Linked DNA regions of Caenorhabditis elegans. The protein of the gene in region 1 purifies or fractionates together with the protein of each later gene. This does not show direct contact. Each region holds a gene or a part of one and is shown on either strand. Other genes may lie near its edges.

Evidence for each region. Proteins that work in one complex are often made in the same cells at the same time.
Region 2: the proteins of acs-14 (region 1) and got-1.2 fractionate together in Caenorhabditis elegans (co-fractionation; one large-scale study listed by BioGRID). This does not show direct contact.

Annotation. Positions count from the first base shown.
Region 1 is NC_003283.11:9,505,028-9,512,874, forward strand, and holds acs-14 (4-coumarate--CoA ligase), read left to right. Parts: upstream 1-3,104; 5' UTR 3,105-3,106; coding exon 3,107-3,316; intron 3,317-3,432; coding exon 3,433-3,544; intron 3,545-3,597; coding exon 3,598-3,925; intron 3,926-4,158; coding exon 4,159-4,354; intron 4,355-4,402; coding exon 4,403-4,681; intron 4,682-4,756; coding exon 4,757-5,144; intron 5,145-5,190; coding exon 5,191-5,312; 3' UTR 5,313-5,351; downstream 5,352-7,847. Other genes in the region: haao-1 (3-hydroxyanthranilate 3,4-dioxygenase), read left to right, coding at 662-905, 1,169-1,399, 1,442-1,556, 1,608-1,722, 1,771-1,856, 1,902-1,956.
Region 2 is NC_003284.9:16,789,070-16,794,749, reverse strand, and holds got-1.2 (Aspartate aminotransferase, cytoplasmic), read left to right. Parts: upstream 1-1,623; 5' UTR 1,624-1,637; coding exon 1,638-2,035; intron 2,036-2,223; exon of another isoform or gene 2,224-2,300; coding exon 2,301-2,671; exon of another isoform or gene 2,672-2,718; coding exon 2,719-3,027; intron 3,028-3,076; coding exon 3,077-3,225; 3' UTR 3,226-3,403; downstream 3,404-5,680. UniProt on the Caenorhabditis elegans protein: Biosynthesis of L-glutamate from L-aspartate. Important regulator of levels of glutamate, the major excitatory neurotransmitter of the central nervous system.

The DNA.
Region 1 (7,847 bases):
TTATATTATTAATTGGTGTATATGAAAGAAGGTCATTCGTTTATTATATTATCTATTCTTAATCTCTTTTATTACATCCAAACCTTTTAGAGACTCTCTGAACATTCTATTGAATTCGAAATTTTCATCTGGGGATTACTGTACTTAGCTCATAATCGTATCAATTCCTGAACACACTCACTGCCGTTCTCAAAATTATGTAAATTTTCATATTCTCTTTATGGCATCTGAGGATTATTTTTATGGCTTAAAATCAATTTTTGGCAACTTGACTACTTACAAAATGTGTTCTCATGCATAACTTTGTAATAGGTGGGTACGAATGCTTTGTTCCTTTGAACTTCAAAGCGTTCCCAAGAACGCCTTGTATTGGTATTTCTCGACGATTTATTGTCCGTTTCTCGTTTCTTGTGATAATTATAGAGGTCAAAATGTCACTTTTACTTGCCATTCATATATTCCAGTCTTTTTTCAATTTCAACCCGATCTCTCAGTTCTCTACCAATTCGTCTTGAGCTAATTCCCTTGTCAATCGATGAGTTGCTTCACCTCCACTAAATTATTCATTTCGCATCAGGAGCAAGTAGTCTGTACGACTTCCGTTTCTACCGAAGAGCAACAGAAGCCTCAACTCAAACTGGCAGAACCACCTGTGATAACAATGAGCGGAGTTACTGCAATTGAGATTCCACAATGGATTCAAGATAATCAAGAGGATTTTGTACCACCTGTTTGTAACAAGTGTATGTTCTCGGATCAGTTGAAAGTTTTCTACGTTGGAGGACCAAATCAAAGAAAAGATTTTCATTTGGAAGAAGGAGAAGAGTTTTTCTTCCAGAGAAAAGGGGATATGGTACTGAAAGTGATTGAAAAGGGTCAAGTCCGTGATCTAGTAATCAAGCAAGGTAGGATTCATCACAAAATTTATTTTTGAATTTGTAAATTAATTAATTAATAACACAAACTCACATGGTTTCTTAGATAACTTTTTAACTAGCTTTTTAAATTAAAATTCCATGAACAAAAAATTTAGACTGAAAATTGAGAATTTTTCACAATTTATAAACGGAAACTAAATCTGTGTTGTCAAAAATTTTTTGGAATTATTTTTTTCACAAATGTTAGATAATCTGAATCAAAACTCAAAATTGAGCTCTCTATTTTTCAGGGGAAATGTTCATGTTGCCAGCAAGAGTAGAACATTCACCTCAAAGATTTTCCAACTCTATTGGTCTTGTCGTTGAACGTGAACGAAAGAATACTGAATTTGATTGTGTTCGATTTCTTGTTGGTTCTTCCAATATCACACTCTTTGAAAGATGGTTCTATTTGACTGATGTTGTCAAGGATTTACCTCCATTAATCAAAGAATTTTATGGATCGAATGAATTCAAAACTGGTTGGTTTGTAGTTGTGTGAGCTCACCGATTTTTTGTTTCAGGTAAACCAGGAAAAGGAACATTTGCATGCAATGCTCCATACGAAGCAAGATGGACTGATTTACCCGTACCTATTAATAGAAAAGAATTTATCTATGATCATATCAGTGAAGTGAAGTAAGAAATTAGTTGGTTTTGTTTCGGATAGTTAATTTGAGAAGTTTTCAGAAACGGACCAGTGAGAATTTATGGAGCACCTGAGTACAAAACTGAAGTTATGTTGCTAGGAGAGGGATCTTATGATTTGGAAAGTGGAACTGTAGAGTTGCTAATTTGGTTGCAGGTATGGCAAAAACAGAAAAATCCCAAAAAAAATTCATGTATCATTTAGGAAAACACATTTGCGGTCGTAGAAGAGAGCGGGTTCACTTATGCAATGAAATCGGAGACCATGGTTAGGATAAAACCGAACACAAAGTAAGAATACGGAATTATAGGTTCTTTGAAATAATTTTGTTTTAGGTGTCTTCTTAATGTCAAAGGAGGATTTGCTATCACCATCAGAATGCCAGCATAATTTTTTTTTTCAATTTTGTAAAAGTCAATTTCCATATAGGCTGATTGAATGAATGCTTTTTTCAATATTTCTATCTTTATTCCAAAATGTAATTTCAATTTTGATTTATAACAAAATGAATGACATGCAATCGTGGCCAACTGATAACATCAATTCCGTTTCATTATCATCGATGTCAAATGTCTCGTGTAACACACGCTGTCGGTTCAGCAAAACCATCATGTTCTTCAAAGCTTCAGAAAATTTGTACTTTCAGACCTCGTTGTTCGTTTCAGGAAATTATGTCACTGTAAAAACTGTAAAATTGGTTAAAAATACAAAGAATCCAATTTTTGTTTTGTAGTTAGTTTACATAACTATTTTTAGTATGATTTCTATTTCATTAGAAAAAAAAACGTTAACTCATTCCGAAAATTTTTTAGCAGAAAAATAATAAATGCCTTTTAGCCGTAATTTTCAAAGGGGTTGTTTTTAAATTTGATGGGGAAGATTGAAAATAATAACTTAAAATAACTTCTCGGTTGGAAAAAAACTATAATTTAGAAAATGTTCACAATACCTCATTTTTTACTGTCAAATCGTCACGAGAACTTTGATTGTTGAAATTTGGCCAGTACTTCCTTGTTTTGAGCATCTTTTTAATATGATCAATGACGTACAATCCAAGTTTCAGATCTTTAAAAACATCTGATTACGATTACAGATCTTTTATTTTATTGTTCATAGCCCATTTTTCGTTTTGCAACCCTTATCATTAATATGCCCTTTTTGTGTACATTTATTCTTTTTCTTTCGTTGTCTTCATTGAGTATTAACTGAAATTGTCTAGGATTATGAGCATCGGAAACTGAAATGATAAGTATTTCCCGCGCTCATGTGGTTTTTTTTTTAATTTTCTAACGGTTTTTCCTCAACAGTTGAATCAATGTTATAAATTGCCAAAAAACAAAGACTACAATAAATGGACCACATTATAACGTCTAAGCACTGTAGTTTTCCTATTTACTATTATCAACTGTCGTCTTTATCAGTCTCTATCTTTTTCTAAATTGACCTTCGGCCACACTGTAGGCTACCCATGCTGTCCTCTTGCCCAGTTCTTATATTTTGATTGTTATTGCTAAATTCATTTATTTTTCAAACTTCAGCCATGCCACACGACTCTACATATCCACCAGTGAAGATTTCCGAGCGTCCGTACCATGAGATGCTCCTTGATGCAATTGATAAAACAATTGCCGATGGAAAGAATAAAATTGCATTTGTGAGCGGAGATAATCCAAAACATTTCATTACTTTTGAACAACTTCGTAAGGATGCTTTTGCTGTCGCTATGTATCTTCATAGCATTGGGTTCAAGGTATGTGGCATTATGTTAAAAATTTGGGAATTTTATAATTCAACAAGAGAAAGGAAGTATTTCAAAAATCTTTCAATTTGTTCAAGACAATGCCTTAAATTTTTGATATCTTTTAGAAAGATGTTGCTGCTGTTGTTCTTCCAAACGTCTGGCACTATACTTCATTTTTCATTGGATGTGCCATCAACGGTGGAGCTGTATCTGGAGCTAGTGCACTTTTCACTGACTGTAAGTTAAATTGATGAAAGTTACTTTCACCAACCCGCAATTTCTGTTTTCAGATGAGCTTCAACGTCAATTTGTTGATTCTCGCGCAAAGGTTGTTTTTACTTACGAAGATTTTCTTCCAAAAGTTCTTCTTGCTGTGAAGCAATCGCCAAACATCCAAAAGATCATTGTCATCCCAAAACCAGTTGGATCTTCTCTTCCAGCAGGAGTTGTATCTTGGAATGAAGTGGTTTCAACTCCAGTCACTGCTCTACCACAAGTTCCAATTGATGTTCACAATGATTTACTCGTTCTTCCATACTCGAGTGGTACCACTGGACCACCAAAGGGTGTTATGCTATCACACTACAATTTTACATCCATGATCTCCATGTATCTTGCGTAAGTTTGAAATTTAAAGATGATGATGATGAGACAGAATAGGTGTGAAAGTACAAAGTTAACAGTAAAATGGTTACACTTTAACCTTCCTATGACGCAAAAAAAGATAAGGGCCAAGAAAACAATTTCATAGATCAATACAGAAGAATCAGTATAACGTTATGTACATTTTTTGAAAAGTAATTGAAAAAAAACGAAAATATAATTAGGTTCATATACGACACAACTTTCAGAATTGATAAATCACACATTTTGGATGTTCTTGATCCAAATTGGGACTGCTACAATGAGAAAGCTCTCTTGTTTCTTCCATTCTATCATGTCTATGGATTTGGTCTTCTTAATCACTGTCTTCTCAAGGGAATGACTGGAATTGTCATGAGCCATTTTGAGCCGAATAATTTTTTGACTGCCGTTCAAAACTACAAAGTATAGAATCAAAAGTTCATAAATAACATTTTTAATTTAATTCTTTAGGTCCGCTGTCTTTGCCTAGTTCCACCAATTATGGTTTTCTTGGCCAAGCATCCAATTTGCGATAAGTTTGATCTATCATCAGTGCAAATGATAATGGCGGGAGCAGCTCCAGCTGGAAAGGATTTGATTGAAGAATTGAAGAGGAAGTATACAAATTTGAAATACATCCAACAAGGATATGGAATGACGGAATGTTCAATGGCTAGTCATCTTCCTGATTTAAGAAATGATCAACCATATGGATCCGTTGGAAAACTTGCTTCAAATTTGGTTATGAAGGTGAGAATTTCCGAATCAAGTTTTTCAATGTTTAAAAGGAAACAAAAGTATTCAATTTATACAAAAGTTATTCAGATTGTGGAACCAGGAACCGACAGAGAGCAACCGGTTAACCAACGAGGAGAAATTTGTGTTCGTGGTCCAACAATTATGCTTGGGTATCTCGGAAGACCAGAAGCAACAGCCAGCACTGTCATCGATGGATGGCTTCACACTGGAGACATTGGTTATCTCAATGAGGATGGAAATTTGTTTATTGTTGATCGACTTAAAGAGCTAATCAAGGTCAAAGGGCTTCAAGTACCACCAGCTGAACTTGAAGATCTTCTTCTATCTCATCCAAAGATTAGAGATTGTGCAGTTATTGGAATCCCAGATGCTAAAGCTGGAGAATTACCTAAAGCATTTGTTGTAAGAGCTGATAACACTCTCACTGAACAAGAAGTTAAGGACTTTGTTAAACGTAAGTTATGAATAGTGCATTTTCTGTATAACTATAATACTTTCAGCAAAAGTGTCTCCTTACAAACAACTCGAAGGTGGTGTCGAATTTATTGAAGAAATTCCAAAGTCCGCAGCTGGAAAGATTTTGAGACGATTCTTGAGAGATCGTTCTTCAGCCAAGCTTTAAATGTTTTTTTGTACATTAACTTTATTGATATTAATTTTTCATGGTTTTTTCTCAAAGTAATTGAATGATTATACAGGAGTAGAACAAACATTACAAGTAACTGGGCAAGCATATTCAATACGTAGCTTATCATCAGTTTCACAAAGTCCTGAAGATTTATAATCGGCACAGTTTGACAAACGATCCACACAACTTCCGGCTTGCTTTCCACAAAATCCACAAGAAGACGCACAATTGTATTTCATGATTGCTTTTTGAGAACTAACTGATGTACAAAGATCAAGAGTTTTGAACAAATCACAGTTTGGATGAAGATCACGGCATTGGCAGAAGATGAGTGGAAAAATAATGGAAACTAGAAGAAATACAGGAAAAATCATTGATGGTTGAAATAGCAGAAGAGGAAAATGGGAATAGTTGGTTGAGAATATGAAGTTGACTATCGGAACATGGGAATGGAAAAAAATATGTTCATGTGAAAATAAATTGCCCTTATGCAAATAGTTTTATTCATGACTTTTACTAGTAAGTGAACAGCTGAATATGTACAGATTGCTCAAAGGTATAGCTTAGATATTGTGAAAAATGTTAAAAGTACTCTTTTGATTTTGACGTGGCCATATATCGTTGTAAACCATGTAATATTAGTCTAAATGACAGTCAAAAAGTGGCGTTTTGATTTATCAAGTCGGCAAGAGTATATTTTTTAAAAACATTTCTGTAAATGTTATATTCTTATAATGTTTTACATTATTTATATCTAAAAATTCTAGAGACACTCTTGAGGGTTTTTCAAAAGTCCAAATTTTTCAAAAATTTGGCAATTTGACTGGACATTTTAAAAACGAAAGCATTTAGGATATTTTTTGTAGTCGAAAAAAAAGTACAAATTTTGTAAATTGTTTAACCAGGATATTTGGATTTTTCAAACTCAAAACTTAAAATTTACAAAATTTACAAAATTCGATTATTTCGAAAAAGTGTTTATGAAAATCCCCACTGATGACCTTTATGATGATGTGATTTTGAAGAGTTTGGAAGAAAATAGTAGTATTTATACTTATTTTTTCCATGTGTTCTTATTCAATGATTGCCTACGATCTTAACTTACCTATGATCTTTTGAATATGTTTATATATGCTCTGCTTGTTTTACTTATGATATCCCATCATTTGATCTTACGCATATTGTGAGCTGCTACGTGTTTCTTCAGCAAGAGCATTCATTTGATGTTTAACCTCATCAAATTTCTCGCATGCTTCGTTTTTACAATTGGTTCCTAAATTTTTTAGTAAGTTTCTTGCAAAGATTATTAAATCGTTATGGTTGGCGTAATTTCAAAACTTGATTCTGTAAGATATTTATGTAGTCCTAAATTACAATATTAAAACGAATCTTCCGAGCGGTTTGATGATCTTAGAGTTGATGACGGTACTGTTAGCTTTGAAAATTCACTGAACCGAGCAGAAGCATGCTATAATGTGAACCGTACCGTATTATGCATGTACAAAAATAAAAGCAGTCTACACCTAAGCTCATTTTATACATAAATATTACTCACTACTCGTTGATGAATGAATTTTGATGGTCAGTAGTCTGGAAGTAATGGTGTTCAGAAAAATTTAATGCGAAAAATAAAAGGTAACATATGCCAACTCACTAATAAGAAACTACGAGCTATTTGTAGTTTTCCCTTACACTCTGGCACTTCCCTGCTTTCAGAAAAACTAGAAAAATGTCATCTGTCACATGATCTCTTGGTACAACAATAAAGTTACACGTCTGAACAAGGAAGTCATGAAATATAACAAAGAGATTTCTTGGACCCTATATTAGACTTTATGGAGATGATTCTTTTCTCAAGTTTCCAAAGCTTTGTTTTCTGAAAAAAAAAACTTCTAAATGCATGTTTCATCGTATTTATTTTAATATTGAATTAAGGCAGGGTTGGCTTAATTTATTGAGTAATGAAAAACTTTTTAAAACTTCAATGTTTCCAATTTTAGATCTCTGTTATATATGTTCTCTGACTATCAAAAATTAGTTTACTGAACTTAAATGTCTATGTGATTTAGAATTGACACTCTAAATTTCACCTGTTTGTATTCTTGCTCAAAACTCAAAAGGTCATTATGATTTTAGTCACTTAATTGGTCAACTTTTAATATGTAAGATTCTAATGTGTAGATTTTGTGAAAATAAACGAATAAATCAGGGATATATTGTTCTTGTTTCGGATTCTCAATTGCACTGTTTGCTGGACACTTTTTTACCGTTACGGTACAGTTAACACGTGAGCATTGACACATTTTCAAAGTGTTTAGTGTGCACTTTTTTTCAGAAACTTCCGTCGAAAATATCATTCGGGAGTTGGCCAGCTTCTCCCATACTGGTTCCCAATTGTATGCAGCATTCTATGGGGATTCATTTGCTTTTACTGTTATGGAGAAACTTCGGAGAGAAGATCATTTTTTAGGTGAGAATCATGGTTGACTGTGTTCTAAAATAAGTATTATTCAGGGCTAATCTACTTGA
Region 2 (5,680 bases), on another chromosome or scaffold:
CTAACAACTATCATTATGTTTGTTTTTGTTGCCTCTTAATTGTTAGTTTTGTGAAAAATCCATGTCCATGTTCATCTTTATTGATTTTAAAAATTTTCAAATTAACTTCAAAATCATTAAAGGCCACCCATTAAAGTCGGTGACTAAAATAATAAATCAGAATGTGCTGAAAAAATTTTTAGTTGTCGTAAATTTTACAAAACTTTGTTGAGAACTTCGCCACGTAGAATTGAGGCTTTAAGGCGGCCCGGAGGCGCCTCTTATCGCCTTTTTCTTTACCTCTTCTCTCACCCTTCTTTCTACCGGAAATCTTGTATGCAAATTCTCATTACGGTGAATATTTTTCTGTGATTTTTTTTCATTTTTACTTCTCATTCATTCAAAGGCGTTTACCGGGCGGAATGTTGTTTAGTTCTCATCCATATTTCTAAATACCCAGCAACTTGGATTTTCTCGTGTATACTGTTCCATTTCTTTTCATCATGTCCCGCCATCATCACCCCAAAAAGAAAACCGATTATTTTTCGTTTCGAAAATTTACATAAACATGTTTTTCCGCCTGGCCACGTGAGATTGTTATATTTATTTATCTAGGCGGTTTCGCACCATCACTCATTTCAAAAGGTCATTTTGCCAATAATTTTTGAAGTGGTCGTTTGGTTTTTGAATCTTTGAAGTTCACGAGGTAGTTGTATAGGTTAACCTTGATTCCTTTTGTAAAGGGATTTTGAAAAAATCAGCTCTTTCAAGGTTTTTCTATAGGCAAAAACAGAAGAAAACTTCCACTAGAAAATTTCAAAAAAAAAAATAGTTTTTCATTTTTGGTGAGGGAATTTTGATATAATTTCATTTATTCCTAGGATCTTATTACATTAACCTAGATAAATATCCAATCTTTTTTTTCAATTTTCAAAAAAGTAATTTGCCTTATCAAAGAACACTTTGAAACCCTCACAAATGACACATTTCGATCTCATTGCGCTGCGTTTTGCCCGTTCTCTCCACCTTGCCATCACGTTTTCCTCGAAATAAAAATTTTCAAAATGGTCACGTCTCGAAAAACGTCTCTGGCAAACAACAACGCTGCCTCTCGTTTTCTACCCGCATGTGTTGTTTTCTCGGAAATAGTGTGTGCTTATTGGAGGGCGGGCCGACGAGAAAGAGTTGTCGAGAAGAGGCAGTCCGTTTTTGAGACCCCCTTTCCTCAATTTGTCCGAAAACTAGGCAAAATTTCCTGTAACTTTTGTTGTGAACTGTCGACTTTGGTGCAATAGAAAGTAACCATCTAGTTCAGTCTTGAAACTGGGCCCGTAGTCTTATCAACACACGTTTCTGTTGATTTCTTGAGTGCTAAAATAAGAAAGTAGAAAGTTTTACGTTTCTTATCGTATAATAATTTTTATCATCAAATCGATTTTTATTGGAAACACCTAAAACGTTTTTTGTTTCCAAGTAAATCCTCTCGAATGTCGATGAGGTGACCTCCTTTTAACGTGGTCATTTTTCGATTTTGATCTCTTTCGCTATATAAATACACCTCATTATCGCGTTTTGCGGCATACCGCCACTCTTTTCATCTCTTCAATTTCTATAACTAAACTTATTGATTTTTTTTAATTCCAGAAACAACACTCAACATGTCCTTCTTTGACGGAATCCCAGTTGCTCCACCAATCGAGGTGTTCCACAAGAACAAGATGTACCTCGATGAGACGGCTCCCGTCAAAGTTAACCTGACAATTGGAGCCTACCGCACAGAGGAGGGACAGCCATGGGTGCTTCCAGTCGTTCATGAGACTGAAGTCGAAATCGCCAACGACACCTCGCTCAATCACGAGTATCTTCCAGTTCTCGGTCACGAGGGTTTCCGCAAGGCTGCCACCGAGCTTGTCCTCGGAGCCGAATCGCCAGCTATCAAGGAGGAAAGATCGTTTGGAGTACAGTGTCTCTCTGGAACCGGAGCTCTTCGTGCTGGAGCCGAGTTTCTTGCTTCAGTGTGTAACATGAAGACCGTCTACGTGAGCAACCCAACATGGTAAGTGGTCGAAAAATCGGAGCCAAACATACTTATCTGATAAAATATAACAAGTCTTGTATTGGCCAGAGTGAGTAGCAGTCAACCAGAACTTCAACTTCTTAAAATAGCCGCCCAATTCTTGGCAGTATTACCATAAACCTAGGTAATCTAGGTAAAAAATGAGTTTCAGCAAGGCTCTTTCAAAGAGGTGTAAGGTACTTTTCCTGAACCTCTGATAATGCTGGGCGAAATTCATCAAATCATGAATTTTTATCATTTTCAGGGGAAATCACAAGCTTGTCTTCAAGAAGGCTGGTTTCACCACCGTCGCCGACTACACCTTCTGGGACTATGATAACAAACGTGTGCACATTGAGAAGTTCCTCTCCGATCTTGAGTCAGCCCCAGAGAAGTCTGTCATCATTCTTCACGGATGTGCTCACAACCCAACTGGAATGGACCCAACTCAGGAGCAATGGAAGTTGGTTGCCGAGGTGATCAAGAGAAAGAACCTCTTCACCTTCTTTGACATTGCTTACCAAGGATTCGCATCTGGTGATCCAGCTGCGGACGCCTGGGCGATCCGCTACTTTGTAGACCAGGGAATGGAGATGGTTGTGTCCCAATCATTTGCCAAGAACTTTGGACTTTACAGTAAGTTTTGAATAGAAGATGAAAAGTAAAATACTTCAAAATTTCAGACGAGCGTGTCGGAAACCTTACTGTCGTCGTCAACAATCCAGCTGTCATTGCCGGATTCCAGTCTCAAATGTCGTTGGTTATCCGTGCCAACTGGTCCAATCCACCAGCACATGGAGCAAGAATTGTGCACAAGGTGCTCACCACCCCAGCTCGCCGTGAACAATGGAACCAGTCTATTCAAGCGATGTCTTCTCGTATCAAGCAGATGAGAGCCGCCTTATTGCGCCATTTGATGGATCTTGGCACTCCTGGAACTTGGGATCACATCATTCAACAAATTGGAATGTTCAGCTACACCGGACTTACTTGTGAGTTTGCTTTTTTTAACACTCTGATGAGGACAATCTTAATTTTCAGCTGCCCAAGTGGATCACCTGATTGCCAATCACAAAGTATTCCTGCTCAGAGACGGCCGCATCAACATTTGTGGTCTTAACACGAAAAACGTGGAATATGTCGCCAAGGCGATTGATGAGACTGTGCGTGCCGTGAAGAGCAACATCTAAAGCTTTGAAATTTATGAATTTTATGTGAAAAATTGAGTTTTTGTGCTCTTCAAGTTTGAGCATTAAGTGTAGATTGAGTATTTCTATGCACTTAGTTTTAATTTCCCGTGTGTACTTTTATTTATTTTAACCCGATTACTTTTTTTTCTTGAATGGAAAATGAATCATTGCTATTATTATCCGTGTGATGTGGACGTTTACTTGGGGAACTATTTCATAAAATATTCGCTCCTAACCGCGACAATTATGGATACACTGCCATAATGCATGAAGCAGCGGATTTTTGGCATATGGAAGCAAGAGGAACATCAGAATTGCCGGAACAAAAATAAAACTAAAACTGTTGTGCGAAAAGTCTACGACATTTTGTTACAAAGTTTGTAATTCTGGTCACCCCAAGTTTAGATTAAGAATATTTGCCATCTATCTATTGTTTAGACACCTGTCGATTTGGTTAAAATTTTTCAGTCTCCTCGAAGTCATGTGGCAAAATTTGAGAAAAATCTTGTTACAACAATTTTCTTTACAGTTCATTGGATTGAAAGTGTGCTCCGAGAAACTTTCAAATTATGCTTTTCTGTTACGTTGTACAACGGGATGGGATAAAATAATCAGTTTTGTACTAAAAATGGTTCTCTAGTATTTAGAATAATTGTTTTAAAATTATTCCACAATACTAAAAAAACATTCAACTATATGTGGATTTCGTGAATAACTTTTAGAGTCAATTTGAACGGAGCACCAATTCAAAAACGGCTCTCCAACTTTCTGAAATCACGTGTACAGGTAAGGATACATCAGTGTTCCATTACCTGAAAAGCTTACGTCTTGCAAACTTCGATGACCCGGAGTGTGAAAGACAGTTAAAAAATTGCGGGGATTTATGAACAATGTTTTCTGTTCAAGCAATTATGATATATGGTGCAAATACTAATCATCACTAGGCTTTATTTTATTTTTGTAATTTTCTTGTAGTTAATTGAAAAAAAAGTGTTTCAACTTCTGTCATATGCTTCAAAATACAGTGTATTACTGACCACCTGGCACCATGTTTAAAAACTTTTTTTCGAGCAGCTGTTAATATTTGTTACTACAGTTTGAAAAACTGATTTAATTCTATAACTGACCACGTCAAACTTTCGCATTCTCATCTACACGAACTTCATTTCCCGGAGTATTCAAAGTTGAGGTAGGCTTCTATTTTCTTATCAACGTCAATCAAGTGATAAATCATTTTTTATTGCAATGCACTTTAAGCTGTCTTAGTTTTTTTCGAACCTTCGTGTTTCGCCGTAACATCGTTCATCAAGTAGTTGTTTTATGGAAAAAAATAGAGTAATCATTACCAATGAATATGGGAAGGATGAAAAAGGTTTTATTTGATCATAACAATTAATAAATAGAAAATGACAATGTAATATTTTCCATTGCTCTAAAAATGGCAAACTCAATTATCAAGCGGTTGTACTTATTATTGTTATTGTTATTATTATTATTATTATATTGTTATTATGGTTGTTATTGTTGTACTTATACCCAATATTATTACTAAGAAACCCCGTTACAAAACGGTTTTCATTTGTTACGGGGTTACAAAATTAATAGAACGGCATATTCATTTTTCAAAAAGCACGAGAATTCCAGCAACATGTCGAACCGTGGGTACGCCCATCTTCACCAGACTCGATTCACCATGAAAATGTGAATACGTGCCAGGAAGTAATCAGGAACACAAATTCATTTTCAAACGAACAGAAAAACTTTACATAGTTAAACTAAATAAATTTAAAAAAATAAAAAAACTAAAAAAAAATAAACTAAAAAAAAAAAAAACTTAGTACCGCAGTTTTTTGATTCTTGAACAAAATTACCATGTTGCGAACGCTATAACGATTTTTGCAACCGTATATAAACAGGATTGCGCTAAGGAAAAAAAGTACTCCCAGTTCTTTTTTTCAGAAGACAGTGAGCTACAAAAATGTTTTATAGTCAAAGTATAAAATGTACTGAATTTGCAGTCCCAGAAATTTTGTTTCTTGCACTTTCTGAGTTCAAGAGTTTTTTTCAACGTCAGCTATAAATTAAAATTTCGTTTTCTTATCGCCACCTGCTCCAAAAAACTCCCATTTTTCTATTTCGTGTTATGCATGGAACTATTCAACTTTTGGTACTTGTGTAGTTCAACTGACCCAGAAATGGTGGCCATTCTTATACATAGTTTTACGTGACTTTTTTGTCCATCTTAGGCTAAGGGTTAATGTTATCTAAGCTTAAACAGCAAATAAATTTCAGTTAAAATATGCGGCTATCTTTCTTTGATGGAATTCATGTTGCTTCGCCAATCAAAGAGCTCCATACATCGGAACTCTTCCAGAAAGAAATTTGCCCTGTGAAAATAAATCTTGCAATAGAAGCTTATCGCACGGAAGATGGAGAGCCGTGGGTTTTGCCAGTG